Linked DNA regions of Mytilus edulis. The protein of the gene in region 1 purifies or fractionates together with the protein of each later gene. This does not show direct contact. Links are inferred from orthologs where the notes say so. Each region holds a gene or a part of one and is shown in the gene's direction. Other genes may lie near its edges. The genes, in order: myotubularin-related protein 9-like; ATPase inhibitor mai-2, mitochondrial-like.

The links.
Region 2: the proteins of myotubularin-related protein 9-like (region 1) and ATPase inhibitor mai-2, mitochondrial-like purify together in Homo sapiens (affinity purification with mass spectrometry; 5 studies listed by BioGRID and IntAct, with this or other methods). This does not show direct contact. The link is inferred for Mytilus edulis from reciprocal best matches to the Homo sapiens genes MTMR9 and ATP5IF1.

Annotation. Positions count from the first base shown.
Region 1 is NC_092355.1:76,958,584-76,975,913, reverse strand, and holds the start of myotubularin-related protein 9-like, read left to right. Parts: upstream 1-9,845; 5' UTR 9,846-9,970; intron 9,971-13,620; exon of another isoform or gene 13,621-13,820; intron 13,821-14,174; exon of another isoform or gene 14,175-14,337; intron 14,338-15,079; exon of another isoform or gene 15,080-15,189; intron 15,190-15,520; exon of another isoform or gene 15,521-15,586; intron 15,587-17,330. Other genes in the region: zinc finger C2HC domain-containing protein 1A-like, read right to left, coding at 9,651-9,666. UniProt on the Homo sapiens protein: Acts as an adapter for myotubularin-related phosphatases. Increases lipid phosphatase MTMR6 catalytic activity, specifically towards phosphatidylinositol 3,5-bisphosphate and MTMR6 binding affinity for phosphorylated phosphatidylinositols.
Region 2 is NC_092355.1:69,040,237-69,056,698, forward strand, and holds the start of ATPase inhibitor mai-2, mitochondrial-like, read left to right. Parts: upstream 1-9,377; 5' UTR 9,378-9,408; coding exon 9,409-9,470; intron 9,471-12,163; coding exon 12,164-12,206; intron 12,207-16,462.

The DNA of each region.
Region 1 (17,330 bases):
GGCTGATATTGATGTCTCGGGATGATACGACATATGATACAGATTTTGCCATGTATTATTCTCTATATATTAAATACAGTGATATACATGTACTGTCAAATCATAACATGAAACAAAAATCTTTTAGTTAATGACCATGATGACCACAATAAAATAATTAAATATCATCTACTAGATTAATTATTATGTAGATGTTTTTCCTAAAAACCCTTAAAGGGGCACTAGCTACGAGATAAACAAAAAAATCCAAAGTAAGATTTTTTTTTGTTCAATCAATAATGAAAGTGAAATAGTGAAATAATAATTCACTTTTAGCAGCCAAAATGGTTGAATTTTGTCAAATTAAGCAAAGAAACATTGATAATTACTTATTCACTTGCAAGTGAATAACTCAACCTCATTAAATCCGTATTCATGTGAACTTTAAATTAACCCCTAGCTCGAGATTGCCAACGCATGCATTGTATATTACTGGTTATTTAAAGAAAAAGAAAGTCATCAATGAAAGTTAAACTACGATAAATCATTTGATTACTGATTCGATCCATAAAAAATCATTCTTATATGGTTTAAAACAATGAGTAGCATATATATTTTTAATCTATAAAATAAAATCAAACAGACCTATTAAAATCCAATTGCATGTGTTGGTTTAATCTATTCACATCTTTATTTATGTTTACATTGCTTATATATGGTCATCTGAGGTCAAATTGATAGTTAATTAGATGGCGTCTGGACTAAAATACACACGAAACAAACCTACATTTTATCTATCCCATGCTCTGTAGACTGTTTATTTTAAACTTTTGGTAGTTTGGATAAATGTTTTACATTGTTATCAATCAAATATGAAATTTGAGTCAAGTCGGTGACCATGGATTTGACAGCTAGTGCCCCTTTAAGATCACCCTGACTGAGTTTGCATTTTCAAAATGAAAAATTAACAAGATTACAATGAAGGCTAAGAAAAAGTACATAGTCAATCTAGCCATTTATAAAAGGGGGCTTCTCAACCCAGGATAAAGGGGGCTTCTCAACCCAGGATAAAGGGGCTTCTCAACCCAGGATAAAGGGGGCTTCTCAACCCAGGATAAAGGGGGCTTCTCAACCCAGGATAAAGGGGGCTTCTCAACCCAGGATAAAGGGGGCTTCTCAACCCAGTATAAAGGGGGCTTCTCAACCCAGGATAAAGGGGGCTTCTCAACCCAGGATAAAGGGGGCTTCTCAACCCAGTATAAAGGGGGCTTCTCAACCCAGGATAAAGGGGGCTTCTCAACCCAGTATAAAGGGGGCTTCTCAACCCAGTATAAAGGGGGCTTCTCAACCCAGTATAAAGGGGGCTTCTCAACCCAGGATAAAGGGGGCTTCTCAACCCAGTATAAAGGGGGCTTCTCAACCCAGGATAAAGGGGGCTCCAACCAGATATCCCCATTCAAAAGCATTGATTGTCATGGCTATCCTGTGCTACTTTCTGGCCTGTATATTTTTAACAAATTAAATTAAATAAATATTTTAAAAACATTCCGTTTCATTTAAAGTTAATCAATTTCAATTTCAATTTAGGTCTAATTTTAAATATATTCAAAATTCCACACGCTATCTGTAATTAGATCTTTAAACTATTTTTAAATAGAAGCCTGTGTACTTTATGCCTCATTTAAAAGTCCTATAAATGGAAATAAATGATACTTGAGATTAGCACAGCTCAATAAGGGTGGTGGTTTAAATTCTTTAATGATATTGTGTACACTAAGCTTCTGTTCATTTAAGCCGAGAGATTGCAACGCTGCATTACAATAATTCTGGGCGGTATCTGTGTTTATCACAACATCTCCATGTAAATACTAGATATAAATCAAATTATTTAAAGATACACAGTTTATTATTTAAAGTAGTATTACTGTCTATGAGTACTCTGTCATCTTAGGTTTCTCTTGACAGCAGCGACTGAAATTGATTTTACCTGATTAAAAAAAAAATGAACCCATTTTTAAGCAAAATGATTTTTATAAATCAAACTTTTCTTTCTTAATTTGTTTTGAAAATTTAGAGGGGAGATAATCAAGATACAAAAAATGTAATTAAGTTTTATAAAATGAATGCAAATTCTTTAACAAGGTGTTTGAATAAATAGCTTCAGTTTTCCGAATACGTTCATACGTTAATACGTTCATACGTTAATACGTTCATACGTTAATACGGGATGGTACATTAGGTAAACACATTTTTTCAATCAAATTTTTTTTTCAGTGGTTCAGCCTTTCTTCATTCTAAAATCCATCTATGGGAAACTTCTTAAGTTAAATTCAAAACAAGAAAAAATTTATATAAATTTATAAAAGATTTTAAGTTCAATGCATTTTCTTAAATAAATGTATGTATCTATATATAAAATTTCCTTTATTGTAAAATGTCATTATTGATCATAATCATCATGTCCTTACCATGCTTACATAATGTACAATAAAATTGAGAATCAAAAAATGGGGAATAAGTCAAAGAGACAACAACCTGACCATAGAACAGACAAAGTTACAGCCGAAAGGCCACCAATGGGTCTTCAATGCAGCGAGAAACTCCCACACCACACACTTCAGCTGGCCCCTAAACAAATATGTATACCAGTTCAGTGATAATGATGTCATACTAAGCATGCCAAATTTCCCCAAAACAATATTTTTAAAGTGCAATTTAAAAGGTTATGAACATGTTGATGCAAACTTGTTCTTCCTGCCAATTACAAAAAAACAAATCAGTCATCAAAATATGGGATTCATCATCTCTGTAAGGCCCCAGCTTATTGTAACATGGGATTCAATATCTGGGTCATTATCCCTAATGCACCGCCAATTAAGGAACACAAAAAATGTAGGTAAACAAAAATCTATGTGTGCATAGTGAAATTGAACATGTATCATAATCTACATGTACATGTATTTTTAACAAGTGACTGACGGTGACTGAGCTTAACCATTTGTGTTTGTGTAAAAAGTTGAGGACTATAGAATAAATGTGTAAAAAGTATGGAGTTATAAATTTATTCAAAGTATTAAATTTTAAAAGAACTAATTATTGTGTGATGGTTAAAATACAATACATACAGTTATCTCAAAAATATGGCAAACAATTTAAGTTTTTATATATTAGCGAGTTTGCAGACCTTTATTATAAATGTATCTAGATTTCATTTATTTCCATAAGTTAGGTGAGTTGGCAGGAGTTAATTTAACAGTATTTGCATAAATGTCAGTCAAGGGACTGTGAAATTTCCCAAGCCACAAGGCAAGGGAATTGTGGTCCCAAGACTGTTATTTTTACAATTATGACTATTACCCCTCCATGAGATATCTGTTTTATTACACCAAATAGATTTTGATTGAAGCTCTCTGAACAGGTAAAAGGACATCTATAGGGCTGAAAGGCACATACATGTACATTTTTATGCATTAGTTTTAGGATTTATAAGTAGACTATCTAGGAATTATACATGTATTATTTTAATTTATTTATTATAAAATTGAGAATGGAAATGGGGAATTTAGCATGATTAGCACTGTCTTTAAGTAACGTCATGGTATATATGACATAAACATGATTGTCAATCCATTCTAAAATAACTCATTTGTAAAAAATAAAGACTTCTTTTTCAACTTTATAGATCAGTTTTTTTTTTGGTATTTTTTACAGTTTTTGATTTACATGTACCTAGAGCTATCAATCTGTGAATCAAATCATGAGAAGAACCTCCTGAGGGTAAAAAGAGGACAAAGTCTCCTATTACAGTAGAAAAATAAAAAAAACAGAGACAAATCTATTTTTTTTTCTTTTTGAAAAATTTCCCACAAAAAAATCAGTCTACTATATATAGCTACATGTGACATTGACTAACATGAAGAATGATTTTAAATTGTTCTCAGTTCACTTTTATTTTTCAGACTTTTTTATTTTATCACATATATATATATATATGCATTGGCTGGCACAGAAATCTACATTTTGTACTTCCTTATTCCAGTCTTGTTTGTCTGACGAGACTTTGAGTAAAATATTTTTACTGATATATTAATCAGCCTAGTGAAATCGCTATTTGTCTACCATTACTGGACATATCACACAGGTTCCCATAAAATCTTGACACCATAATACATTTGTAATACAACAATTGTACAAAATATCTGACACCACAATGGAAAAGTGATTTATATAAAAGAAGGACAAAAGATACCAAAGGGACAGTCAAACTCATAAATCGAAAATAAACTGAAAAGGTCATGGCCAAAAATTAAAAAGACAAACAGACAACAACAGCACACACAACGTAGAAAACTAAACATGCTAAAGAATAAGCAACAAAAACCCCATCAAAAGACGTCATTAGTTCAAGCAGAACAGATTCTTGGGTCAGCCGGGAATAGCAATAAGGTGTATATAACTTATAAGAACAAACACAATACCAATTTCATATTTAATAATTTTTTGATATGAAAAAACTTTACCTGATGATAGTGTTTTTTGGTCTACCATGTTTATATTGAATATTAATCATACATACATGACATAACTTAAATAACGTCACAATTAAACATGCTATACTTTTTAACAACAGAGCCAAAATCAGAATTTTTTTTAAACAGATTTTGAAGTTTAAATAAAATTAAGAAAGGAATGTATTGAATTAGAAAAAAAATCATACAGACTTTGTCCTCTTACACTGGTATTGCCTGCCTCATTTACACCTCAATTATCACTATTTGTCCGCTATTACAGCTGGATACCACACAGGTTGCCATAAAATTTTGATGTCATAAAATAAATCAAAGCCAATTGCTGCCATGTTTATGTTTTGGGGACTTTTTTTTCATCCACATATATTTAAGAATTAAACATGACAGGAGTGTTGTCTAGTGAGAATTAAGAAGGTTTTAACTTTATATCAATTAAAGACTTAAGCAGAAAGTCATTTTTAATATGTTTTATATTTCACAAGGAGACAACACGTTTACCAGGCTAAAGTTGGGGTCAGATATACATGTGCTGAAACATATAACTCCAAGAGAAATTATTATGGATTATCCCCTAGTAGTGTTTGTAACTGGGCAATAATTTCCTTTATTGATTTAATTTTCATAATTAATTTAAATTTTACACTTCAGTTAAAACATTTCAACTTTCCAGACGCAAATGTTGAAAAACGGGAAAGAAACAAAATATTTTACAAGACATAAACATGTAAAAAATAAATATATATTTAAGCTGACTAAAAATATTTTCATAATGTTACTTTGTCATCATTTCTTAAAAACTAAGTCCCAAACGTTATTGCTCAGTTGATATGTGTCATCCTCATGCTGTACGAGATAACTATAATTCTCATGCAATCCCGAAAAGAGGGGCCATCACAGACAAACATGACATTAAATCGTCATTATACGAACACGAACAAACAGCTCTAAGTTGCTTTGATATCTATCCAATTTTCAGGAAACATTGTGAAAATGATCTTCAATATTTCGAAAACATGTGAAATATAATTGCAAACACGGTGGACCGTCGAGGGTCAACAAACGTAGTAGACTCGTCCATTGGAAAGACAAGGATAATGGTTTCATCATTTGTCATGCATACCCAGTTTTGAATATGATATCCAAAAAGGATGTACTTTTTTTAATCTATGAAACTAGAAAATTCCAAATTGTAAATATCTCTTCATCTGGACTTGGCATCTATCACATTTGGACGGGTCCATTTCATTAGTAAGGTGATCGATAAATCTTACGGAGTTATGACAAAAAAGGAAAACAAACTTATTGTTATGTGTTTTTAACAAGGGTTTCGTTCCTCTAAATTATTTGCGCAAACAAATCAACAAAATAGGTCAGTTAACTTTGTCTATTTTTAGATTACAGGTAATCATTTGACACTACGTATAACCTGATAACCTGTGTAGTGATTTTGATTTTACGATAAATTTATGAATGAACGACAATTTTATGAATGAACAAGAGCACCTGACCTCTTTCTTAAAAAAACACCAATTAAACATATAAAACCGTATATTATAAAAGATAATTCAGTCAAATTTTCAATACTAAATCAACAACTGAAATGATTCCATATTTTGTTGAAACATCGTACGAACGGAAAACGGAATCGCAGGTATAAAAATGCATTTTTTTTCACTCGGACGTCTATGTTTTTTGATAGTCAAACGGTTGTCCCCCTAAATACAAAAATATATCTACAAGAACGTATGCTGAAACTTCTTAAATCCACTAACGTTTTTCAAAAGTTTCAAGCTATGTATTGCATTAGAAAACATACATAGGTGTTTAAGAATGACAGACCAGGAGCCTGTTTAACAAAATACTATGGCTTGATCTGGGCGGAGTCTCTGATCTGGGTCACAAAGATGGCCATACGCGACGGCATGAAAGCAATTGCTTTAAAAATCTGATGACACAATGGAAAGTGATTGTTGTATGTGTCAAAAGTTCAAGCGGCTGGGTCAGCCAGAATTAGCGATAATGTGTATTAAATGAGTATCCAAAATGGCCGATACCATGGCATTTTCACTGATACCAGTAATAGTTGTAAAAAACAGGCTAATTCGTTTGAAATGAGGAAAACCAGATATATAGATAGAATAATATATGTGAAAAATACACCGGCTACCAACCAATCAAAATCTGGCCTTTTTTTTAAATAAGGTGTAATTATATCACTAATGTGCCATTAAAATAAGTTGATGGTGTCCCTAAAGTAAAAGTAGGGAATCCATGATATCTCGGCCTATAACATAATCGGACTATAACAAACTCGGCCTATAAGAAACTCGGCTTCCCAAAATCGGACTATAACAAAGTCGGACTATACCAAACTCGGACTACTAGAAGAATATAAGTATAATGTTGGTTGTTGTTGTTATTCGAAATTAATTTTCAATTCTTAATTTAAATGAATTTTTATCTTCAATTAATTAAATAATTGAACTTTTTTGAAGGGGATAAAAAAATAAGTTAACAAGATATTTTTAAAATAAAAGTACAAAAATAAATCTTTTTGAAATTCATTTATGAAAATTTCCACTGATTTGTCTTTTCAGTATTATTATTTGTAATAATGTCCCTCTCAGAATATGTTTTTATTATATGCATATCTTAATTGATTATGACATCATGCCACGTGTATCGTTGATACCTTTTTTAATCATCATAGGTTAAACAAACAACTGGCACATGTACTGTTGACACCTATCTTATCACCCAAGTCAGGACAAATCTATCTGTTATTACAGGAAATTTGGTACTAAATATCCAATTAAATGTGTCTTGTCTTGTATTGGCTATGACTGGACTTCAGGTTTTTTTTTATTATTATAAATTTTGTGTTAATTATTATAAGACAATTCAGTGAATTGTAGCATTTCTGGTTTTTGATCATATTTTGAAATAGTGAAATTGTTATGAAGCCATTCACTGTCAATCAAATTTCTCTGTGTTTATTTACTATAATCATAAACACCAAGGATTAAACACAATAAAAACACGAACACACGCCACTCATTAAAATATCTTTTGCAATTGTCAATAAACATCATAAATCACAATAACATTCCAATGTAAGTTAATTATCCTCATTGGATCTCCTGTAGTTGGTGATCGCAATACTGGTATACCAGTATTGTCCACAATACTGGTATAAAAATTTTGTACCAGTATTGTATTCCAGTATTGTACCAGTATTGTGCTTTTTTTAAATAAACAATATAGGTAATTAATCTTTTATTAAAGGTGTCACATATATGCATAATGAAATTAACATATGACATGACAATTTTATCAGGAATGATTGTGTTTAACTGATGATGCCATAGATGGTACTCTGTGATTGTCATCAAATAAAGTTTTAAATCTTCTGATGTTTTTTTCTTAACCATTCTGTCTCAGCATTTTAACAAACTCTGTACTTTCTTCTATCTTTCCAAGATTCATGTAGTATATTTTAGTGAATTTTATATTGACATTAATGCTGTTATAGCTTCTGTATCATCAGCATTGGTATTGTCTATTTCTTCTTCAGATGTGATTTCTGCAACCCCTCCCCCCTCCTATATTCAGTCTCTGTGGACTTTCTCTAAAGCTTACTAGATTACAAGCTATTTCAAATAGCATTTGTACAGCTCTCTTACTGTCAGAATGCTGGTCTAGTATTTGTACCAGTAGATATATATGTACCTGCTACTAATTGTATTGTCCATGGTTCTGAATCAACTGCTTCAACCCTTAACATTCATGTAGACAAACTATTTAATTTGATTATAACAAGGTTCCCCTATAAAGCAACTTTTTATTATTAATGAATAATATTGATATCTTTTGTTGTGAAAGATTAATAAGAAAATAAAGACAAACAAATGCATATGATCTTAGTACACAAAAAATGTATACATGTATTAAAATGTTTGTCAAAATATGTGATGGCATACATGTAAATGATGAATTTACAGTGTTAGAGTCTAATAATTTGCTTGAATTTATTATATTATTACTCAGATAATAATAAGCTTTTATATAATAAATTTTAAATAATATAAAATTATTAGCAATTGTTTAAATAATAATGATGATATGAGTTAATTTCAATAATCTTTTGTTTATTTGTGCAAGTATAGTAATGACTTTTAACTGGTTGTTAAATAATTATTGATTTCACAATTATCCTCTATAATCTTTTTGAGTTCATTTAATCTCCCTTTGATCTTCAATATAGTCTAGTCAACAATACAACTACAATACTGGTATATCAGTAATGTACCAGTATTGCTGTTTTTTTTTAATAAAAAGTTACAATACTGGTACAAAATTTTTATACCAGTATTGTGGACAATACTGGTATACCAGTATTGTGGACAATACTGGTATACCAGTATTGCGATCACCAACTACTGGCCTTGAAGGCATAAAACTTTGCTCAGTGCTTGGAGCACAAAAATCGTGCTCGAAACATGAAATCCAGCAATTTGATTGGTTGATTTTCGAGTCTGAGTTCAAAAATCATGCTCGAAAGTTTTATGACCGTTAGGCCAGGAGATCCTCCTCATTTAAACATATCTAATTCAACTCATATAACAAATATTAATCATTTCTATATACGATTTTTTTTTTACAAAAATATTCATGATAATCTCATAAATTCGTATATTATTTTAATATATAAGTATTTTTTATTACAATCTTCTAATCGTACTGTAGTCCGAGTTTGTTCAATATATTTCTGCATATAAATAATGGTAGGCCGAGTTTGTTATAGTCCGAGTTATAGTCCGATTTTGTTATAGTCCGACTTTGTTTTAGTCCGAGTTATCCAGCAGCGAAAGCAGGCCCTCTCACCAAAGGCACTTGTTTCTATCCATGGGAAGACCCACTTGGATAGAAACAAGTGCCTGTGCCACTCACCAGCTCACGGCAGTTGTTAAAACTTATTTTCAAAGTTAAAAAATAAACATTTTGTTGGTTGTCTGGTAATCTAAAACTAAATTTTATGTGAAAGATGAATTATTGTTGCAGTGAAGCTTTAACATGACTTCGACAAGCTAATGTCAATATGAAAAATACAGCAATATTTTGGTCAGCAACCAAGTTGTTTACCATCGTAATCCGCCATCTTCCAAATATCCAGCGACACTATTCAGCAGCAAATTAAATTCTTTCACTCTTTGAGGGTATAACAAAAATGTTTTTTGAAATTTTAAAAAAGGCAGTTTATTTTCCTTTATTTGAAAATAAAAAAAAATGAAATTGTGTTGATTTAAATTATATATTTTTTGTACTCGTATTTGCCTCGGAAATAAAAGAGTTGTCTGCAACTTCCGGTCTAAAAAATTATGATAAATTTTCAGCACGAAACCAGCGACACCTACAGAATACAGAATACAGAAACCAGAAGCTGACTTTATATCTAAATCTAGGTATATTTACAAAACAAGTCATACCTGCCAACTGTCACTACTTGCGGGTTCCCAAAGAGAAATTTTACAAGAGCAATTTTGTCCACTATTTTAAACAAAACAATGAATTTTATCATGACTTTAAGTTTAAATAGGCTTTTGAAAGTATGAAGAATCACAAAAACAACATTGAAATGCATTTAAAAGCCCCCTTTAAGTTTTTTAAGGACTATGACAGCCATCTTGCACGCAAAACCTCTGGGCAGGGGAAATCATAGAGAGGGGAGCCTAACTCGCTTCAGATGATAATCAGACAATGGCGGCTTTATTTCGGAAATATGTAGATTTTACATAACAAATAAGAATACAGTCCGAACATACCGATAAATTATCCTGCTAGTTCGATTGGCTTAAAGTTTTTTCGTGTTTTTATTTTGATAAGTGTATGAACCCTTGACCGGTTATTTGGGGTCTTCTTCTACACTCCCAAAATATGATAACAAACACGTCTTAGCACACGAATGTACTCAATCAAAGTGTTTTCTACGTGTATTATGAAAACTATAGAAAAGGGGGAGGGGGGAATACTTGAAAAAATAATTTAAATTTGTTTTATTCGTTTAAATTGGTCTACCGATATACAAATTTCATTACTGAGTAAAAGTAATTGAAAATGAATTTATATTTCAGCAAGAAATTTACATAAAATGTTTTTTTTAAACCAGTTTAATTCTGTCAGTAACAAATCCAGTACGCATTTTTTCACCGGAGGAAAAACTATCGGTGCTTTCACTTGCATAATTTTGATTTTTGGATATCATGTATAACACTTGCGGTATCCTCGTGTAAGCATTGATTTGCTTCAACTGAGTTACAATTTTTAAAGATTTGTAAATAACAAAAAAAAAGCGGAGCGAGGCAAAAATTTTTGAGGTTATTTTTTTAAAAATATTCTTCTAAAGGGGTGCAATGTAGGTATTTCGAACTATTGTGAGGTACAGTCAGCAAGAAATTAAAGTTTCAAGTAGAAACCACCTAAATCCAACCTGACAACAATTTACAATCACTATAGTATCATGGACGGACAGATGTAAAACAATATATGTTCCTGTTCCGCGAAAAACCTCTCAGTTATGATGACAAGGTCTCTTACAAACTTGAAAAATCTTCAACAAACTCCTAACACCAATAACTTACGTACTACATGTAAGAGATTCATTCTGCATATATATGATAGAGTTTATAAAGCTGCAACCCAAAACAGAAGCTGAAGATCATGCGAACAATTTATTTTGATTCTGTGTTCCTATGCAAACTGAGTGTGCAGACCAATCTACACTGAAGACACCAGCACTTCTAAAATAATCAATATAAGGTCATAAATATCCCTGAAAGACATTGGTGCTGGTAATTGTGATAAACAGAAACATCACAAAAACAGGAAGCCCTTGTTTGCAGATCGTCAATGTCACTTAGCCATTCAACATGGTGTAAATTATGTGAAATGAAACCGGTTCACTTAAGAATTACTTTAACACTCCATAACACAATCATCGACAAACTTGGTTAGGACGATGGAAATGTAAAGAGTTGACAGATAGACGGGTGGATCGACGGAAGCAAAGTGAGACAAGATAGATCACATCAGCTCACATGACCAATACTAGATACTAGTATTAGATTTCGCAAACGAAAATTTCCACTTTTCGCGGTGATTTCCAATTGTCCTTTAATTATATGTTTTAACTTTTTGGATTTTCGGAGGTCGTGCCAGACTTAATATATACATATACTGTGTTCGCCACAAACCACTAAAATCAGAATGAGATACATTTACGAAGTTATTTTTATTTTGTGGGGATACGGCCATGCACGTATTTACGGTATACATAATTCGCCACTTCGATTATCAAAGAAATTGATTATAAAACGGCAAAAACAAAGTAACAATTGTTTGTAATTTAACAGCTTAAACATGTTTTTCATTTTTCAATCAGACACCTTCCTTTGAAGTATATAATATTTATAGAACTTGAATAAATTGTAGGTCAGTTGATTCTGTTACTTAGTATAGAAAGTCCCTGGTTAAACTGACTGTTTTATATACTTTGAATGTTAAGAAGGAATGGTCTCTTCTGATACTGAAACAAGTTGAAGACAACCCATACTTTGCAAATTTTAGGGGGGGGGGCGTACGCCCGCCACGCCCCCACGTAAATCCGCCCCTGGTTCAATGGCGGATCCAGAAATATATATAGTTTTTATGCAAGTTGGCTTCTTTATCTTAAGTATTGTTCACTGAATCAGGATAGGCGGATCTAACCCAATTTATAGTGACAAATTTGGTTGATATATATTGTCTGCTTAATTCTATAATTTGCATATTTAAAAATCTGGATTGCAGATCTTTGATGATTTTTTTTAACTATGACGATTAGAAGCTGTGACAAAAGAAACAGCTAGGTATGAACCGTAAGCTGCAGTCAGCAATGTAACCATAAATCGTATGTCCATAATATTTGGAATGCAGTTGTCAGAAGCTGGATAAAACTTGGTAGTTAGGGTGCTCGCACCCCTCTCATTAAGCTTCATTTAGGGTCAGTCAAGATTTTTGCAGGTTTCACTCATAAATTCGTCTAGCTTTGGGACCCCTCCACAAACCACTTTTACAAATTCTAGATATGCATCGGGTTGTATTTACTGAAGCACATCTTATACTAAAAGTCATGGAGTTTTTTTTTAGACCAGCCCATGTTCAGGGTTTATTGACTAGAGACCTTTTACATGCAGGGACACAATTTATGAGTTATTTTTCAGTAGATGCATTTGGTCTCTGGTTGAGAGTTGTCTTTTTCAATCATTAGCAATCTTACCACATATTTTCATATTTCTGTGTTCAACTGTTTGTTCTTAAATGTTAAGCTGTTACACCGTCACAAGTTACAGGAGAATTTGCATGTACAGTATGTGTAAGCCCACCACATTCTCATTCTGTATGACTTTGTTCTAAGTAAGTAGTTTGAAACTCTGTTTGCTTTTGGTCATATTGAGTTTTATTTGTTTATCACTTGCATTTTTATGCCCCACCTACTACAGTAGAGGGGCATTATGTTTTCTGGTCTGTGCGTCCGTTCGTCTGTCCCGCTTCAGGTTAAAGTTTTTGGTCAAGGTAGTTTTTGATGAAGTTGAAGTCCAATCAACTTCAAAATTAGTACACATGTTCCCTATGATATGATCTTTCTAATTTTAATGCCAAATTAGAGTTTTTATCCCAATGTCATGGTCCACTGAACAGTGGGGCATTCGTGTACTGAGGACACATTCTTGTTAGATGTGTTGGGATCCTGATTATACACCAACAAACAACACTACCTTTAAAGACACCATAATGATCAATGTGACAGGGATATCTACATCAATACGGTATTATTTGCATATCCTTATTCCTATAGCAAAGAGTCTAGGACCATGTATTTTAAAAGTCAAACAAAAAAAACAACAAGAACTGTCAGCACTAGATACATAGACCAATATCTCAGGACCACCTAATTGAATAAGATTACCAAAGATTTCAAATAATTTGGAAACAGGGTTAAATAAATATAGGTCTAATTGGAGCTTGGTAATATAGCTGTATATAGCTACTAAAAAAATTGAATAGAAAAAGAAAATTAAGTGTCTAGTACTCTTTATTTACATTTTTATCTCTCAGTCAAACAATGAATATTTTTGTTGTTTTGGTAATAGTGGAACATCTTTCTAAAACACACTGCTTTTTTTTATTTCACTCTTAAGAACAAATTCTGCTTCAAATTAATCAATATGTAGATCACAATTATAACCTTCATCTTCACCAGTTCTGCATTCTAACCTGAAATATAATGTTGTACATGAAGCAAAAAGCAAATCTATTTTAAAGAAAAAAATAACAATATGCAATTTAAAAGAACAATTTAAATGTGAACTATATCTATAAATGTCTAAAGTCTTTAAGACAATAACACTTCTCATTTTATTGCAGATATAAAAAAAAAAATTTAAAACAAAACCCTTACATTTTTCTAAGCTTTATCAAATTATCATAAATATATAAATTTTACAAAATCATTTCAATCTAAAAAATTAAATTGAAATAATCGTTGATGTTCTTAAAAAGTGGCAGGGTGTCCTGTTGCCTTTGACCCAAAAAATGAAGAACTATTTGAGTATAACTTTAATAACTTACCTTCTTTCTTTCATTTTGTACATGTAGTTTATGAAAAGTGATTTGTTACATCACAACAACATGTACAAGTTATCAAAGAATCAAAGAACTACAGCAGTGTTTTCATAGTCTGTAAGACAAATTGGAAAACCAGCTAGGATGTTGTGTCTAGTATTTCCACTGACTGAAATTATACGAAGACAAAATATGAATATGGACATGACTATAAAGTACTGGATCAATCAAAGAATAAATAAATATCATAGTGTAGGGTAGCTAAAGGACCCATATTTGAGTGAAATAACTTCACCAATCTGACATGGATATATATTGTTTTGCAACATGATGAATACAGATATAGGTGAAAATGTAACCTTTTCCTATATTGTTTGGGTTTCCTGTCAATATTTTTGCTCTGCAATAAAAAAGTAGAATACCAATGTGTAAAAAGAGATTGAAAAAACAGCTTGTAACACCAAGAAGGATGAGAGACGAAGAAATTATTGTAACTTTAATGATGTAATCATATATTTCTGATAGTTTTCCAGACCTATCCACACATATTTTTCAAGCTTGAGAAGATGACCTTCATGTTTTCCAGCAGCATATTTCACCTTCTGTATAGGTAGTGCCCCCCTTTTGAGTTGAGAGTAATTGTTCTAAATTGTGTTCTCCCTAGTCCAATGAAATGAAACTGAACAAAATGAAATGAAACTGAACAAAATCTGATACTAATTCAAATTATTATACATATAATATAAATGTGTATGTATTAAAAATATATACAGATAAATAAGAAGAAAAGGATGGCACATACGATTGATTGTCAATGAGACAACTCTCTGTCAAAGTACATGTAACAATTAATTAATGTATTGAATTGAGCAATTAAAGTTTAAATTACAGATATATTGAAATATTCATACCATACAATGCCTGCACGTTTTCAATGATACATCATGTGTGTTAAAGTACACAAACAACCGGTTATAGTCGCTCATTTGCATAACAATGAAGCGGCATAACATGTGCGTCAAAATGCATAATTTGCATCCGATTTGCAATGTTGTTGCCATATAAACATTCAAAAACATATTAAACTTTTATCGGACCTTTAATTTAAAGAAATTTCTTATCCAAAAACGAACAATTGTCAAAAATTCATAAAACCAAGACTTGGTTTTATCAGACATGTGTTTTCGCAACATTCTTGGCAATCCTGAACTTTTTCTCAATAACCATAATAATTTTGTTTATAAAAATATGATAACTTATAAATTTTTAACTCACAGTACAATATGCACTAATCCAATACAAAATTGGTTTGCTAGATTTTCTTAATTCAACATTTCAAATTGACGACCTACCTCTCTGAGTATGTCCAGTTTTTTCCAATATGGCGCCTATCCGGAAGTTAGGAAGGCCTGCTCTGGGCATTTTAAAAAGATGGCAGATATATCTAGGTAATATGAGGCAGGCATTACCTGGGACGAAATCTATATGATTTTTTTTTTTTTTAATTCAAACATATTTTAATTTCAAAATGAAAATACTGTAACGTTTCCTTTTTTGGTTCTGTTGTTCATGTTCATGATGTTAGGTATTTAAGTTGTGACGTTATTAAAGTTTGTGATGTCATATGCAATGCAAACCAAGTAACACTATCACATCAGGTAACGTTTTTTCATATCATGGAATTATTAAAAATGAAATTGGTATTGCGTTCATTCCTATTTTATACTAGACTGATAAATATATATTTTACCCAAAGTTTCATGCAAATTAGACTGGGAAAAGGAAGTACACTGTAGATTTCTGCGCAAATGCAGGAATTAAAAAAAGTGACAAAAAAAAGTTAACGATTTGAGTTGATGATCATGAATGATGATTAGTACAATGAAGAATTCGAGAAATTTTCCCGATTTTTTTATTTTATTTAAAAAAAAATTATTGATTTTTTCTACTGTTATACAGGACTTAGTCCCCTTATGAATGCTTAATTCACGTTGATGTTTGTTTAACAAGAGATGCATAATCCATTAATGACACATGACTGTCTTTAAAATAAATTCAATAAATCGTGGTGAGGTCGCAGTATTAGCGGCATGAAAATATAGCTTTTCATTGTTATTACAATGGTACTACATCCTCATTTCGATTCTACAATGAACCCCGCTACAATTATACAACATTCCTATCTGCTTAATTTCTGAGTTCCATTTAGCCCAAGTTTGGTACAGGCAGAGTTAGTAAGTCTGAGTTTTCCATTAACCAGAGCTTGTTTTAGTTAATTAGTCATGTTAGTCTGAATTTGCTATAGCCAGAGTTTTTTTTTAGGCAAAGCTAGTTTTAGCCATGTTAGCCAGAATCTGTTGTAGGCAGAGTTAGAAAATCTTGAGTTCACTATAGCCTGAGTATATATTTTACTTTTAGGCAGAATTAGTATCTGAGTTCACTATAGTCTGAGATTATTTTAGATGGAGTTGTTAAAAACAAACCATCAAAAGTAGATTTATCTTCAAAAACAAATGTTATAAGCAAATACCATATATTAAACAAACAATAGAAAGTATGACTTGGTTCATGCACAAAACGTTTTATGTCCATACAAATATCCTCCTTTGCCTTTCTAGATCATATGTAACACAATAAAAAATGTACTTATGTATTTATAATAGTAGCAATCATGCCAATGTATACAGTCATCTTCTGTCATGTTTGTAGAGTCTGTATGCAGTCGTCTCCTGTCATGTCCGTAGAGTCTGTATGCAGTCGTCTCCTGTCATGTCCGTAGAGTCTGTGTGCAGTCGTCTCCTGTCATGTCCGTAGAGTCTGTGCAGTTGTCTCCTGTCATGTTCGTAGAGTTTGTGTGCAGTCGTCTCCTGTCATGTCCGTAGAGTCTGTGCAGTTGTCTCCTGTCATGTCCGTTGAGTCTGTGTACAGTCGTCTCCTGTCATGTCTGTAGAGTCTGTGTGCAGTCGTCTCCTGTCATGTCTGTAGAGACTGTATGCAGTCATCTCCTGTCATGTCCGTAGAGTCTGTGTGCAGGCGTCTCCTGTCATGTCCGTAGAGTCTATGTGCAGTCGTCTCCTGTCATGTCCGTAGAGTGTGTGCAGTCGTCTCCTGTCATGTCTGTAGAGTCTGTATGCAGGCGTCTCCTGTCATGTCCATAGAGTC
Region 2 (16,462 bases), about 7.9 Mb from region 1:
GAGACATACTTCCTCATGACTTTTTCACATCTTTGATAAGATAAGACTATGTTTTTTATGAATTCATGGTCGACTCTAACTCAGGTGTCCGCAAACAGTTTTTCAGAGCATTCAAAAATGACCCCAAAGGGTATTTTGTTTACCTTATTCAAAACACATAAAAAAAGGGGGGGGGGTGTATGTGATTATGATTGAAAATGAATATGAAAATATCAGTTATTTAATTACATTAATAAAATGCATAAATTTAATAAAATCATAAAAAAAACATTCTTTCTCTTAATCATTTATTATGAAAAATTATGTTGAAAATAGCCTTTTTGCGCTTAAGATATCCAAAAGAGGTAAAACCAGTCATCGGTTGCTATGGAAACCAATGTGCTTAGCAACCAAAATTTTGCAATTTTTTGTATGTTTCATCAATACTAGTAAATGTGTGAAGTTTGTTGAAAATCCATGACCATGCGTGCCACACTCCATATGTAAGAGTTTTTAAAAATAGTTACAGAGAACCAGTAATAATTTCCTTATTTAAACTCGAATTATAGTATGGATCTTCGAGATATTTATAAAAATAAATCAATTAAAAACTTATAGATTACTTGATTGGTGTTAAACGCAACTTTCAGTACCATGGTGCTATTTTTGTGGCGGTCATTTTTTATTGGTGAAGGAAGCCATAGATAACCAACGGCCTTCGGTAGCCTGAAAACTGACAACATTGTCAACTAAGAGATTACGAATTGAGCTCTCCTGCCTCGTGCGGGATTCGAACTCGCATCCTCAGTTTTGACATGTCAGTTATGCTATAGTTCGACTACTTCGACATTTGGTTACCGGGGCCCCTTTAAACTTAGACAAATTTTCATAAAACTAGATTATGGCAGGTGGAAATATATTTGGATCTTTTTTATACATACAAATGAATTCAATCGAAAAAACACATCCCACAGAAGATAAAATACTGATCTCTTTAAAGCTTAATTTGCATTTCTGCCTACACCACCAACATTTTTTGTTAAAGAAAAAAAAACCATCATAAAATTTCTCCACGTTAGTTTGCAGCACAGAAAATTATTCTAAATATTACATTGTAGTATAACAAACTTCTAGTGCCATTGTTTCGGTCGCTGATGACAATAAAAAGAATATACATTTTCATGTGTAACGCAAATAGATATTTCAAACAACTGTACGATTGTGGTTTCGAAAAAATCTTAAATCAGTATACTTACCTACGAAAGCAAACAATTGAACTTGTTACATTTATTTTAATAAGGTTGGTGTAACTGTTCAAGGTCGCTGTTTTACCAAATTGCTCACTATAACTATTTTTTTTCTTTGTGATCTAATTTAAATTATTTCAGTGCCATTGGGGACAAAACAGTATACACAGGTAATAAAGGATTTGCTATTGGTGCTGGTGTTGTGAAGACACATACAGTTGATGGGAAAACTTTTTTTTCGTGTACAGTTGGCACAAATGATATACTGGTCGGAAAGAGAGGAGTTCAAGCTCCGAATTATCGTGGTGAAAAACTTTCTAGCATCACAACCATTAAAACACCGACTGATATATGCTCTGATGATAATAGACACCTTTACGTCAGTGGACAAGGTTCAAACAACATACACAGACTTACACAGGAGGGAAAGGTGATAGATATTCCACTTCATTCTCAACATGGAATCAAAGAACCAGTCGCTGTGTGCTTCAACCAAAACTATACAAAGTTATATATTGTCAATGAATGGGGGAAGACAGTTTTGGTCTTTGATGTTTATTGATGCTTGATTATTAAGACTTTTTATTAAATATTCCAGTCGAAATAAACCATAACAACTTTTTTCTTGTCCATTTATTCATATATTGGATAATATTTGTTTTATATTGCTTTTGCACAAAACATTTTGGAACCGATAAACAATTTACCTTTCATTGTTTATGTTTATTTTTTACACATAATATTTAGTGTGTTTAGGATAATAATTTCAATAAAAAATATCTCTTGCTTTTTTTCTTTATTTTTTAACAATCCTAATGATTGTTTCTCAAAATAGCGCGCATGAAATGCACCATTTTATATTGTCGTACAGGATTTTTTTTCAAATTTAAGGAACTTTCTGGGTTTTTTCAACATGTTCCATTGGTAAGGAAAGCCGAAAAACAATTTCTGACTTTATAAGATTTTTTTGATATATACTTTTTGATGTCCTTTCGCTTTATGATAAACACTTCCAATGATAGTTGTAGTGTATTCTAGAACAATTTTCTAAATCTGGTCATTCTGACTTGGGAAAAACAATATTTGTATATTTCTCCAGGTTGTTTAGTGGAGGTTTGTCGAGGTATCAATCTACATTTGAGCATTTCAATATAAATTGCGATCTGTCTATATACTGCTACATGATACTTCTTTTAATTACACAATAACACAGGATCACCCTTAAAAGAGAGGCGAAACACTCCAAATAGCCGTTCAATCTATGCGCTATAAGCATTTTGTTATATCATTAAGAGTATTTCTGGCTTTTGGCAATAGTAGTTTTACGACATCTCGTATATCATTTTCAATATGCAATTAAAGTTCAGGAAATTATATTGTGTGTGTGAATATGTGAAAATTTCATATAACGGTAATTAAATGACTGTTTAATCTATCATACGAGTATTCATTTATGTTTCAATGGTTTCTTTATCAAAATAATCATCCTCTAAAGTATCTAAAGGAGACGCAATACTTTGAATTTCATGTCAAACTGACCTGTGCTGTAAAAACGATGCTTTATGGTAATTATGATTTCACTATTTGGACATCGACACATCTTTACAGTGGATAGAAGTTCCTCATCGACTATCAATATGAAGCAGACTGTATTGCATCTGTTGTATCATTTTCTTTTTATCAGACGGTAACAAAAACAGATTACGCTAGCTTTTCTCATTCTTCGTGTTCTTCTATAGAGGCATCTGTATCATAGTTTATCTAATCTTACTTTTTTAGAATACCAAGAATTGATCAAATTAACAGATTTGTTGTCATAAAGTTGAAATTATCTTTTGACTATTTTTTTTTTGTCTCCATTGTTAATGGCAGCTGTCCCACACAATGGTGGTGTTGATTTTTTCAATAAGTGAAATACAAATGAGAATGGAAATGGGGAATATGCCAAAGAGACAATAGCCCGTCAAAAGAGCAGATAATAGTCGAAGCCACCAATGGGTCTTCAAAGCAGCGAGAAAATACCGCACCCTGTGCTGTACCTCAGCTGGCTCCTAAATAAAAATGTGTATTAGTTCAGTGAAAATGTACACCATACTAGATTCAAAAACATATCCATGTATATGAACTAAAAGATATAAAACAAGAATGTGTCCATAGTACACGAATGCCCCACTCGCACTATCATTTTCTATGTTCAGTGGACCGTGAAATTGGGGTCAAAACTTTAATTTGGAATTAAAAATAGAAAGATCATATCAAAGGGAACATGTTTACTAAGTTTCAAGTTGATGTAACTTTAACTTCATCAAAAACTACCTTGACCAAAAACTTTAACCTGAACTTCGCACTATCATTTTCTATATTCAGTGGACCATGAAATTGGGGTCAAAACTATAATTTGGCAGTAAAATTAGAAAGATAATATCATGGGGAACATGTGTACTAAGTTTCAAGTTGATTGGACTTCAACTTCTTCAAAAACTACATTGAAAAACATACAAAAGTAACAAAGTCCATAAGCTCCTGACTTGCGACAAGCTCAAAAAATGCAGCGGAGTTTAACAAGTTTTGTGAGTCCGAGTCCGTTGTCAGAAAAGGTAACAACAGAAACTAAGGAAAATGACAATGATATATAAATAAACAAAGGACTAGTAGCAGTTTCTGACATGCCAGCTCAAGACCTTATTTAAACTGACTGAAAGATTATGTCTTCATCATATGAAAATCAAGCACAATCCCTTCCGTTAATAGTTTTGTATCATTCCATCATAAAATATATGAGAAGAAAGAATGTGTGTGTTATTTCCTACATAAGCCCTAATGGATATCTTAATATTCTTCTGGGAATATTCATAATGCTAATCGGAGAAGAAAACTGCCAACGGGTTTTATAATGCTCTGTCCTAGAATGGCTTGCAATGAGAACACATACTGCTTTGAAGCATCATACTGGCTACAATGGAATATGTAAGCGATATTCCTAGCATAAAAAACGTCCACTGATATACCGTGATAAATCATTTTAGATGATAAACCCTATATATTTTAATAAAGTGTTTTTTTCAAAAATATTCTGCAAAAATAACATCTTCTTTATAATCAGCATCGTTTGATTTGGTCTGGCAAATTGGGAAATTTGTAATGTTTGTCTTGTTAACCGTTGGAATAGTCAATAATTCAAATGAGAAATTTTGTTATTCACAATAAAAGAAATTGTTATGTCCCTCTGCCTCTGCTGATATCCAGTTAAAGAATGTATTTAATTCGCTCTGTTTGTTAAACAGTCTTTTTATACAAAAAATCTTTGAATGCAAGATAATGACCAGCCTATATCTTGTAGGATAAAATCTTTTTAATGTTTGTGGGACTTGAATAATTATTCCGAATGGTCAACCATTTTGCAGCTAAGGAGCAATTATCTGTTCACATTGTTGTCGGATAACGTAAATCATGAATACTTGGGGCACTATGCGCAATTGTTTCTCCATATGCGATAATGGTAACGTTTTCTTCTGTAGCTCAGCTCATATCGCAAACTTGTATATGTATGATAGCTTGTTTCGCAGCTGAGACATTTTCACATATGTGGTTACATTTTCCGGGTACGAAGTGTGATTAATTTTTCCGTAAATTAGCATACCCCAAAAATCCTTTCGTGTTGCGGCTCTTCGTGGTAAAAAGTCCCACAATAGTTTCTTTGAAAATTTAATACTTTGAATACATATTATAACTCCGTAGTTTTAACACGTTTTTTTCTAAGGTCCCAGGGGCGGATCCAGGATTTTGGAAAGGGGGGCGAAGGTTTAAATTCGCCGAGCGGAGCGAGGGAAAAAAATTTTGGGACCTTTTTGGGGCTAAAAAATACATAATTAAACGGTTCCTGTCGTGGGGCATTTATATTTTATAGTTGCTGTAAAGTGTAAGGGTGGGACATTTTTGATGCTTCATATTCTCCCTATTAATTGTCTTTCATAAAATGATAGTATGGATTCAAAGCTTAATTGATGTGGGACTTGTCAGTGAAAAATAGACATGGAAATTATCGCCGGTTTGTTGCAAGTTAAGTTATCATAACCTCACAGATTTCGTGTTGTAAACAAGATAAACGCCGGGCTATTCGATGAAAACACTTGTGTCGATCAGGTCAAAATATTAAAATCTTAATATTGGCGAATTTTGATTCCGTTCGGTCAACTTTTTTTGCAGAAATCATTTTTTTGGAAGAACAAGCACCATAATCGTAAATTATAACTTTTTATTTGCAAATGTTACTAAAATAATACCAAGCGATTGTCTTCATATTTCTTTGATGAACAAAATTTGAGAAAATTTAGTATTTTGTATTAACAAGGAATTTGCATTCGTAACAAGTCATACAAATCGAATTTTTGAATTGAAATTGCACTTTTATCGAATAAAAACGAGTAATATCTTTAAGTAATATTCTTTAATATTGTTAAAAGTAGTATAACACTGTAAAAAGTAGCATAACACCATAAAAAGTCTTTTTCTCGGAATATATCAGTTTGTTTTTGGGATAGAATGTTTTTCTTGCATTTCTCGGGAAATCGTGGTACCGCAATACGACCGACACGAGTTAGAAAAGACAAACAGGCAGTTTTTATCCAAATGTTTGGTTGATATGTTTCACCCAACAGAGTCTGAAATGACAACGAATATGTAAGTCCGGCGAAACAGACTTTCCGGGCAGACATGCAAACCCCGGCCACAAAAAAAAAATAAAAAATACGCCCGTTTTTATTCATGATGTTCATTTAATGCTAAATAATTTTGTTGGAAATTTTCGTTTCTATTAGCATAAAAGTGGACAAGACTATTGTTTTCAATCCAGATACGGCCAGAAGTTTTGTTTTAGGCAAGAATCAGAGTCAATGTTTTTTTCTCTCAAATATCTCAGACTGCCTCCTCAAATCAAATGGTTCGTACCTGAGACTTGAAATCTTTCTAGACCTTATACTGACTGGGGATCATTATTCCACTTTGTTAGTTATAAAATAGGCTGGGGCTTTTGGGGATAAACATGTTTTCGTAGGTAAATAATATTGTGGAATTTTTTTTTCATGATAGTGTAATAGTCTACAGTCTGAAGGGTAATACTTTCTGTTTGGTGGAATAGTGAAAAAGAAGTCAATACGTTCTTGCTCAATTAAGCAATGTGTTACTGTAATTTAAATTTCAAAATGACCGAGTGACGTTTTTTCAACGCACTGGTCAACTCCACCATAGCAAATCACATGACTTTGACAATCAGTAAATACCAGCGAAAAAAATCTTTAGTTCCTTCATTATATAAGTTCCTAAAGGAAACATTATTCTGGAATATTATTTTCACTCGAATAAATATTCCAGTAAATGTTCCTAACGGAATAAATGGTATAGAATATTTGTTCCAACAGGAACATAAATTATGACATTGTTTATAACAAAGTTTCCAGAGGAACTTCTGTTAGGTGGAACAAATATACGTTGACACTTCAACTTCGTACTTTATTTGGCCTTTTTCACTTTTTTGGATTCGAGCGTCACTGATGAGTCTTTTGTAGAGAAACGCGCGTCTGGCGTATACACAAAACTTGATTTAGTCCTGGTATCTATGATGAGTATATACACGTTTCGTAATGAAGAACTGTGATCAGTGTATCTTTTTCCTATACAAACGATCAAATCGAATACACCTTGCCTACGAAAATTGAAAAGAACATTATTTATCAATAATATTGTGCTTTATTTCCAGAGGCGGGTTTAGTGAGTTTAAATTTACACGTATTGTTGATAATATATTGTCCGGGCCCCTTTTATCAATTTGCTTATAGACCCTCCCCCTTTTTTCTTACATTCTAGATCCGACCCTAATTGCTACACATTTCGTTTGATGGGTTGCTTTATCGCCATGTTGTACATTGAAATCCTTTCTTGTACAATCCCCCCCCCCCAGCTAATTGGCGTCCTTTCTACACAAGGATATGGATTGTGGGGCTTCATTCCTGTTTCTTTATCTTTAAAATAATGACATGACTATTCTGTAATTACATCATTTGTGTATTTAGTATACGCTTACCCCATTCTTAAATGTTTGCAGTAACCCAATAAAAAAGGGAAAACTTATGCTCAAAATAAATTAGTGTTTTAAAAGATTATGTCAACATAATTTATTCTGTGGTCTATATATTTTTTAAACAAATAAAAAAAAACCACAAACCCTAATTAACAATCCCTCATTTATGTCTGTTTGGTCCTCTGTTTCTCTCTTCTCCTGTTTATTCTCCTCCAAAGCAGTCTGGATTGCCATTCCTGGATGAGTATACAGATACTCAACGCCAAATTTACTTACTTGTATACACCATACAGGCCTGGTATGTATGGCCATACGAGTTTCCAAGGATGTTCACTGAGTACCAGAGTAGACTTCTACATATGTCCTGGTTTAAAAGTAAATAAATAAATGGGGTTTGCCACATCTCTGGAGTAGCAACTCTCAAACACTTTTTGATTTAATACCTGTATGACTATTTCAATAGTTTATTTTACAATGTTATGTAAAATACTGTATGTTGTATCAATTATATATGTTATGTGTATATGCCCCCCTGGGGACCTAATTTGGAAAATAAAATTTATCTTATCTATCTTATCTTATCTATCTATCTATCTATCTATCTATCTATCTATCTATCTATCTATCTATCTATCTATCTATCTATCTATCTATCTATCTATCTATCTATCTATCTATCTATCTATCTATCTATCTATCTATCTATCTATCTATCTATCTATCTATCTATCTATCTATCTATCTATCTATCTATCTATCTATCTATCTATCTATCTATCTATCTATCTATCTATCTATCTATCTATCTATCTATCTATCTATCTATCTAATTTGGAAAATAAAATTTATCTTATCTATCTTATCTTATCTATCTATCTATCTATCTATCTATCTATCTATCTATCTATCTATCTATCTATCTATCTATCTATCTATCTATCTATCTATCTATCTATCTATCTATCTATCTATCTATCTATCTATCTATCTATCTATCTATCTATCTATCTATCTATCTATCTATCTATCTATCTATCTATCTATCTATCTATCTATCTATCTATCTATCTATCTATCTATCTATCTATCTATCTATCTATCTATCTATCTATCTATCTATCTATCTATCTATCTATCTATCTATCTATCTATCTATCTATCTATCTATCTATCTATCTATCTATCTATCTATCTATCTATCTATCTATCTATCTATCTATCTATCTATCTATCTATCTATCTATCTATCTATCTATCTATCTATCTATCTATCTATCTATCTATCTATCTATCTATCTATCTATCTATCTATCTATCTATCTATCTATCTATCTATCTATCTATCTATCTATCTATCTATCTATCTATCTATCTATCTATCTATCTATCTATCTATCTATCTATCTATCTATCTATCTATCTATCTATCTATCTATCTATCTATCTATCTATCTATCTATCTATCTATCTATCTATCTATCTATCTATCTATCTATCTATCTATCTATCTATCTATCTATCTATCTATCTATCTATCTATCTATCTATCTATCTATCTATCTATCTATCTATCTATCTATCTATCTATCTATCTATCTATCTATCTATCTATCTATCTATCTATCTATCTATCTATCTATCTATCTATCTACACAAACTTAATTGACACTCCTACTACTACTCAGGCCCACTCATCTACTCCCACCAATAAAAATGGTCGCCAGGACTTGAAATAGTCAACCGAATGATGATAGTGGCACAACATATCATTCTATCAATTAGTTAATCTCACGGTTTAGTTTTCTTTTATTTTTATTATGCTTTGGGGTGTTCGTCACTTTTTTAATGTCACTCCCTCCCACCCAATATCTTTTGCAACAATTAAGGAAAAAAATAGAATATATTTTTAAACTTTAAAAAATCATTACTTTCAAGCTATGTAACATTAATTCAGTTTTGCAAACGATTCTATATCTTTATTAGAAACGATGAAAATGTCGACGTCCCAATGACACCCAATGAATAAAAGTTTCTTGTTAAAAATGCGCTCCATAGTTGTTATCTCCCTTGGTTCTATATCCGTAACTTTGCAGACGTAAAATAACGATGGCATTGCAAGCAGCTAAAAGATTAACCTCCCTGCGGTTTATTGGGTATGGCAATATAAAGTAATGTTTCTGTTGCATTAAAAAACTACCAAAGTATTCATAACAGAGATTAAATTGCTTTAACGACACATAAGAACTTAGTAATTTGCCCTTTACTCTATTCAAACAGTTGAAGGTCGCATGGTCAACACACATGTGTATTACGTTTTATACAGTAATGCATTTTTTGAATACGGAAAACCACATAAGACATTTGCCGTTAAAGTGTTAATGAGTTACATAATTTAAGGATAACAGGTTTAAAAGATTACAGTCTATAGTAACCCCTCTTTTTAAGATTTTGTTTACCGTAAATTTTTATCCCTAATCACTAAAGTTGATACATCATTGACTTCTTTGGATCATTACTAGGTTTTGCACTTCTATGCACAGTGGCGGATCCAGAAATTTTCATAAGTGGGGGCCCACTGACTGCCTAAGGGGGGGAGGGGGGGGGGGGGCTGCTCCAGTCATGCTTCAGTGATTCCCTATATAAGCAACCAAATTTTTCCCAGGAAAAGGGGGGGGGGGCCTGCCCCCCCCCCCTTAATCCGCCTCTGATGCATGTATGATTGAATTGGAAACTTATTTGGCAGGCCTGTGTTGTCACGCATTTCTTTTCAAATGGCAATATACGGCACAATCATGACAATGGTGGTTCAATACACCTTTTTCGCTATTTGTCTGCATTTCAGGGATATCTCAGGTTCTCTTAAAATTTTGACGTTATAATAGAAAATACTTGACCCACAATCATGACAATACACCTTATTGCTCTTTCATTTGGAAATCTGTTCAAGTTGACTCGAGAATCTGCCCCTGCTAAACTATAGACGTCATACAACAATAGCTTTTGCATTGTGGCGTCTTATATTTTGTATTATGACGTCAAAATTTTAGGGGAACCTTTGTGATGTCCAGTAATGGCAGACAAATAGCAAGGTTTCGAACCTCCCTCATTTGGGGGGACCATCAATGTATTTGAATAGGGACAAATGGTTATGTACATATATATAATCATGATAATCAAAAATTTGGTATAGGAATATTTCAATAATTAGTTTGAGCTCAACTCTGATAAGAAAGATGCTTAGACATATTAAAAGTACAAATAGGTTTGAACAAGAGTGACCCCTCTTTCATGAGACTAAATTTGAATGAAAAGGTTGATAGCAGTAAAACCTCAGTTGTAGTTGTGGAAAAAGTTTTACTATAAATATATACATTTGTATATTGTTCACAAATTAAACACCTACCTCTTTAAATAAAGTGAATGTCTGTTCAAACTGTTTTCATGGTCTTACTTTTTTCAGCGGTGTGTTGAAGTGAAGTAAGTCTCTCATGTAATAAAATGGTTATGGAATGCTCAAATGCAAGTGCAAAAAAAAATCTGAATAGGCTTACAATTACTGCTTATTGTTGCACTATTTATATATGCTAGCCAAAGCATACCGGTATATATACGATGTATGGTTTTGAAAGTTGTTAACTTGTTAACTGCAAGGACTGGACAAAAATATTTGTCTTTAAAGTCATATGAAACGAGTGAGTGGTGAAAAATAATGTTTATCCAATTCTTGAACCAATGTATGTATATATCATAAACTTAGTCCTCTGTGCACGATTTTATCATTATTTTCGCAAATATATCCTATAATCGTCAATTTTTTCTCTCTCTGTTTGTTATGATTTAAAAAATATGGCTGCTCATTAAATGCCGTGTTTTGAAGCCGAGTTTTAACGATTGTCACCTTATAGTAAACAAATCACAAAAAGCATGGGTATTGAGCACGTGTTTAACATGTATACTCAGATATTTGTTTATTTCAATACAGATCCATGCGTATTGCGATTACCGGATTTTTACGAGGAGGGTTACGCTCGGGTCACTATGCATACGGAAAATATGTCGGCGAATTGCTTCCTGGAAGCAAGCAATTAAAAATAAGTAAACTTCTTCTAAATGTGGACAAATTAAAGAATTTTCCTCAGAAAAAAGTATATGTACATAAGTTGTATAATGAAAACTATCCATTTAGTTATAAAAAACATATGCATATTTTTTTTAAATTTGAGGTTTCTTATGACTTTAAGCATGGTAATCATGTACATGTTCATACAATTATATATGAATAGCAGTGTGCAAAACTTATTGGCACTGGAGTTATCACAGTTAAACACACACACACAAAATACTTTAAATAGGATAATTAGAATGGCCCAAAATATTTGAAAGGTCAACATGGTCAACAGAGACCCCCCCCCCCCAAAAAAAAAAAAAAAATAAATAAATAGAAACAAACACAATCTACAAAAACATACAGACTCAAAATATATAAAAAAACAATTTATAAAAAACAAATATGGCAGACATGAACTACATGAACTAACTACAACCACTCAGCACTGAACTAAAGGAACCTGACTTGGGACAGGCACATAATAAATATGGTAGGGTGAAACATATTTGTGGGGGCTGAACCCACTCCTTAATCAGGATTTCTTTTTTTAAATTTGAACCACAAGATAAATTGTTCAAATACATACATGTACAAAATATATATAGGAAATCTCTGATGCATAACTGGAGCGGGCCCCCTCTTAGGCAGTCAGTGGGCCCCCTCTTATGAAAATTTCTGGATCCGCCACTGACCACATCTCTATTTATTCATGTCATTCATGTTTTGTAATATGTTGTGATTTTTTTATTTCAGAATCAGGGCCATGAGTGATGAATGGGGAAGTGGTGCAGGAAAGGTAAAAACATATCTACTTAAATTCACCCCAACAGTCTTCTACAATGTATCTCAACCACAGTTCAAACAATCCAGGCTTGTAAAATGCTTTACCTGGCCTGTAAAAATCACCCCTACATGCCAATATACCCTGATTAAAGTTTTGTTAAATTCAGCCAGGGATCTCCATGGCCTGTTTAACTATGGCACCACGCCATCGTTCAAATGTCTTGCGCCATCGTCAAATGACTCGCACCATCGTTAAATTGTCTTCCGCCATCGTTCAAACTTCATCGTTTTTTGTAGCCTGACACCATTTTTCTCATCACTTGGCGTCCGTCGTCCGTAAACTTTTACAAAAATCTTCTCCTCTGAAACTACTGGGCCAAATTCTACCAAACTTGGCCACAATCATCCTTGGGGTATCTAGTTTAAAAAATGTGTGGCGTGACCCGTCAAACCAACCAAGATGGCCGCCATGGCTAAAAATAGAACATAGGGGTAAAATGCAGTTTTTGGCTAATAACTCAAAAACCAAAGCATTTAGAGCAAATCTGACAGGGTAAAATGGTTGATCAGGTCAAGATCTATCTGCCTTGAAATTTTCAGACGAATAGGACAACCTGTTGTTGGGTTGCTGCCTGTGAAATGGTTATTTTAAGGAAATTTTGCAGTTTTTGGTTATTATCTTGAATACTATTATAGATAGAGAAAACTGTAAACAGCAATAATGTTCAGCAAAGTAAGACCTACAAATAAGTCAACATGACCAAAATTGTCAGTTGACCCCTTAAGGAGTAATTGCCCTTTATAGTCAATTTTTAACAACTTTTCGTCATTTTTTGTAACTTTTCTAAAAATCTTCTTCTCCAAAACTACTTTGCCAAATTTAACCAAACTTGGCCACAATTATCATTGTGGTTTATAGTTTAAAAAATGTGTCCGATGACCCAGCCTGCCAAACAAAATGGCCGACATGGCTAAAATTAGAACATAGTGGTAAAATGCAGTTTTTGCTTTATATCTTTGAAACTAAGACATTTAGGGCAAATCTTTCAAGATTTAAATGTCCATCAGAATAAGATATATCCCCTCACAAATTTTGAGTTGAATCGGACAACCTGTTGTTGGGTTGCTGCCCTAAAATTGGTGATTTTAAGGAAATTTTGCAGTTTTTGGTTATTATCTTGAATACTATTATAGATAGAGATAAACTGTAAACAGCAATAATGTTCAGCAAAGTAAGATCTACAAATAAGTCAGCATGATCAAAATTGTTAGAGGACCCCTTAAGGAGTTATTGCCCTTTATAGTCAATATTGAACAACTTTTCGTCATTTTTGTAACTTGTATAAAAATCTTTTCTAAAACGACTTGGCCAAATTTAACCAAACTTGGCCACAATCATAATACTAGGGTATCTATTTTAAAAAAAAGTGTCTAATGACCCCGCCTACCAACGAAGATGGCCGACATCAGTAAACACATTAGCAGGTGAGCGACACAGGCTCTTGAGAGCCTCTAGTTTTTTATCAATTATAATCAAATGCATGTAATTGCATAACCCTTAGGCTTTTTATGTTATAATCCAATACAGTTCTAACACCTAAGGGATATCCGGATTAAGATCGCTAATCACTTGTACCTGAGCTTGTACAGGTAGATCAACAAACCAGACAGGAGAATACTATCTGAGGATAGACGATCCATTTGTCGAATTAATCAACTAAGTTTCAGCAAATGATTATGATAATTTAGATCAGGGTTGGCAAAAACCCGGGTTTTATGAGTATTGCCCAGCCCAGTGGGAAATACTGGGAAAACCCGGGTTTTACTGGGTTTTAGTGGGAAATACTGGGCAATAATGGGTAATATAAAATATTTGTCTGAATTTTAAAGAGGATTCAGTGATAAACACAAATGCAATACATTTAATAAGATATTTATACCCTATTTTGTTTGTTTAGCAAAATTTGTCTAGATTGGCAAACTGTAAATAGAAAGCAAATATTATTTTTTTTTTCAAATGAATATAGCTCCTTTCACTGCCTATTAAGAATTAACAATTACAACATGTATTAAAGAAACATCACATTTAAATAATGTATATATGTACTGTCACTAATTAATAAGTAGTTATTCAGATTAGAACACAGATTTGTTTATGTAACAATAATCAATCTTTTCAATTTTATAAGTGTTAATGGCATGACCCTGTAGGGTGTTTATTTAGCAATATGAATGTTTAACAATTAAAATTAACAATTCACTTAAACACTGCAATAAAAGGCATTTTTTAAAGTTTGAATTTTTGAAACAATACTTGGTAATTAAAAGGTATCTTTAAATGTACAAATCTTGTATTCTGCCTACATATAAAATTAATAGAGAAGAGAATGAAATTGAATTTTCTAGAAATGACTGTCAATAGTTCATTAGTTATCTGTATAAAAAGTATATATTTAGCTGTTATACTATGAAACTATAACAAGTCTTTACTATTTTGTGTTAAAATAAGCTTAAAAATCATATTGCCCAGTAATGCCCACTATTACCCATTTCTGGGAGTATTGCCCAGCCCGGGAAAACCCGGGTTTTCCCGCCCGGGAATTCCGGGTGGGTAATACTTTGCCAACCCTGATTTAGATTTAATAAATAAATTAATAATCCAGTTACAAAGAAAACAGTTTAACGAGTCGAACACGTGCTTTATTTTGACTTACGCAATCAGCATCCCCCTTTTTTAAGAAGTACAAAATAAGACGCAAAACAGTAAATATTATTTCATCGCAAATAACTTGAGTACTGCTGTAACGATAATTTAGAATTACTTAAAAAGTAAAAACTTAAATATTTCCTGTAAAGAAATATCGTATCGTAATTCCGAATTCATTTCGTATATTACAATCAAATTGATACATCCGCGTTTCCGGTTTCTATTCAGACTCCAAAGATGCATGTTGCACAGCATCAATTTGCCAGATAAAGTCATTAAAAACCTTTTCATTTGTCAACGTTTGCTTTACAAATCTCTTTAACCTTTTACATAACCCGTACGAATCGTTTTGTTGTTGCTGCAAATCATATACGTTGATAGTGGGTCTTCCAATGGATAGAAACAAGTGCCTGTGCCCCATAACAATTACCAAAAATACAAGAAATCTACATGGGGACCTTCATGACAGCTTTTGGTCATTCTCGACTAAGGGGGGACCATTAAGACTTGGCAAATTTTTAAATGAAAATATTGATACTTCTAATTCTATAATGAAAATTCAAATAAATATAATTTAAATAAGTAATGAATTAGCATGTTCACCATTCCTTGTATGGAGGGATAAAATACTTCCGATCGCGCTACACTGTACAGCGTAGACACGGTTTGAATACGTTGTTGTTTACAATAATAGACGTAATATACAGACAATTGCTGTATCAAAGTGGTAGCTGATGTTCTGAATATAGAGACATGCAGATATTTAATAGTGTCAGACCATGGTTATACTAATTTCATAAAGTGAATCAGTGTCATTTTAGATTTTAGACTATTTTTAACGAAGTATCAAAGTGAATAACTTTTAATACCGTCCGTGTAATATAAGCCCATCGTCTTTTTAATATATGCAATTGCGTTTTTTACTGTGAATTAACAAAGTGATTTTAGCTATATAAGTCCGTGTAATATAAGCCCACTTTGATAATCAAGAAATTGATGTGCTCCTAACCACAGGAGGAAGTTACTGAAAGAAGAAGAAGAAGAATGGTGAAAGTTCCTCCATCGTTCAATTTTCATCCATGGAGATCCCTGTTCAGCTTCAGGCCTTTAGATTCAAAGTTTATAAATCACAAAGACTGTATATATAATGATATAAATGAAAAGGAAAATTGTAAAAATAATCAGTGGTCAGAAATATGTTGTTCATTACAAACATGGGCAAAATATAGAATATGCACAAGAAAAAAGTGTTTTTTGAAGTAGAAAAGGGAGACAAAAAAGTTTGATAATATTTTAAGGGAGATAATAGAGCTTTGATATTATGATATATAACATTACAAGAGCGCAATTATTTGTTTACATTTTACCGGCAAGTTTTTTACCCCAAGATGGTTCTCAGAATAGAAAACTATACGGCTTCTGATTGGATGAAAAAGGATAGGAATTACATTTTATCTAAAGCTTATCCAATAAGGTTTAAAAATTGCAGAAAATCATATTCACATTTTACGAAGTATAGAAAATATCTTCCATTTCTGCACGTCGGAGCCATTGAAATATGC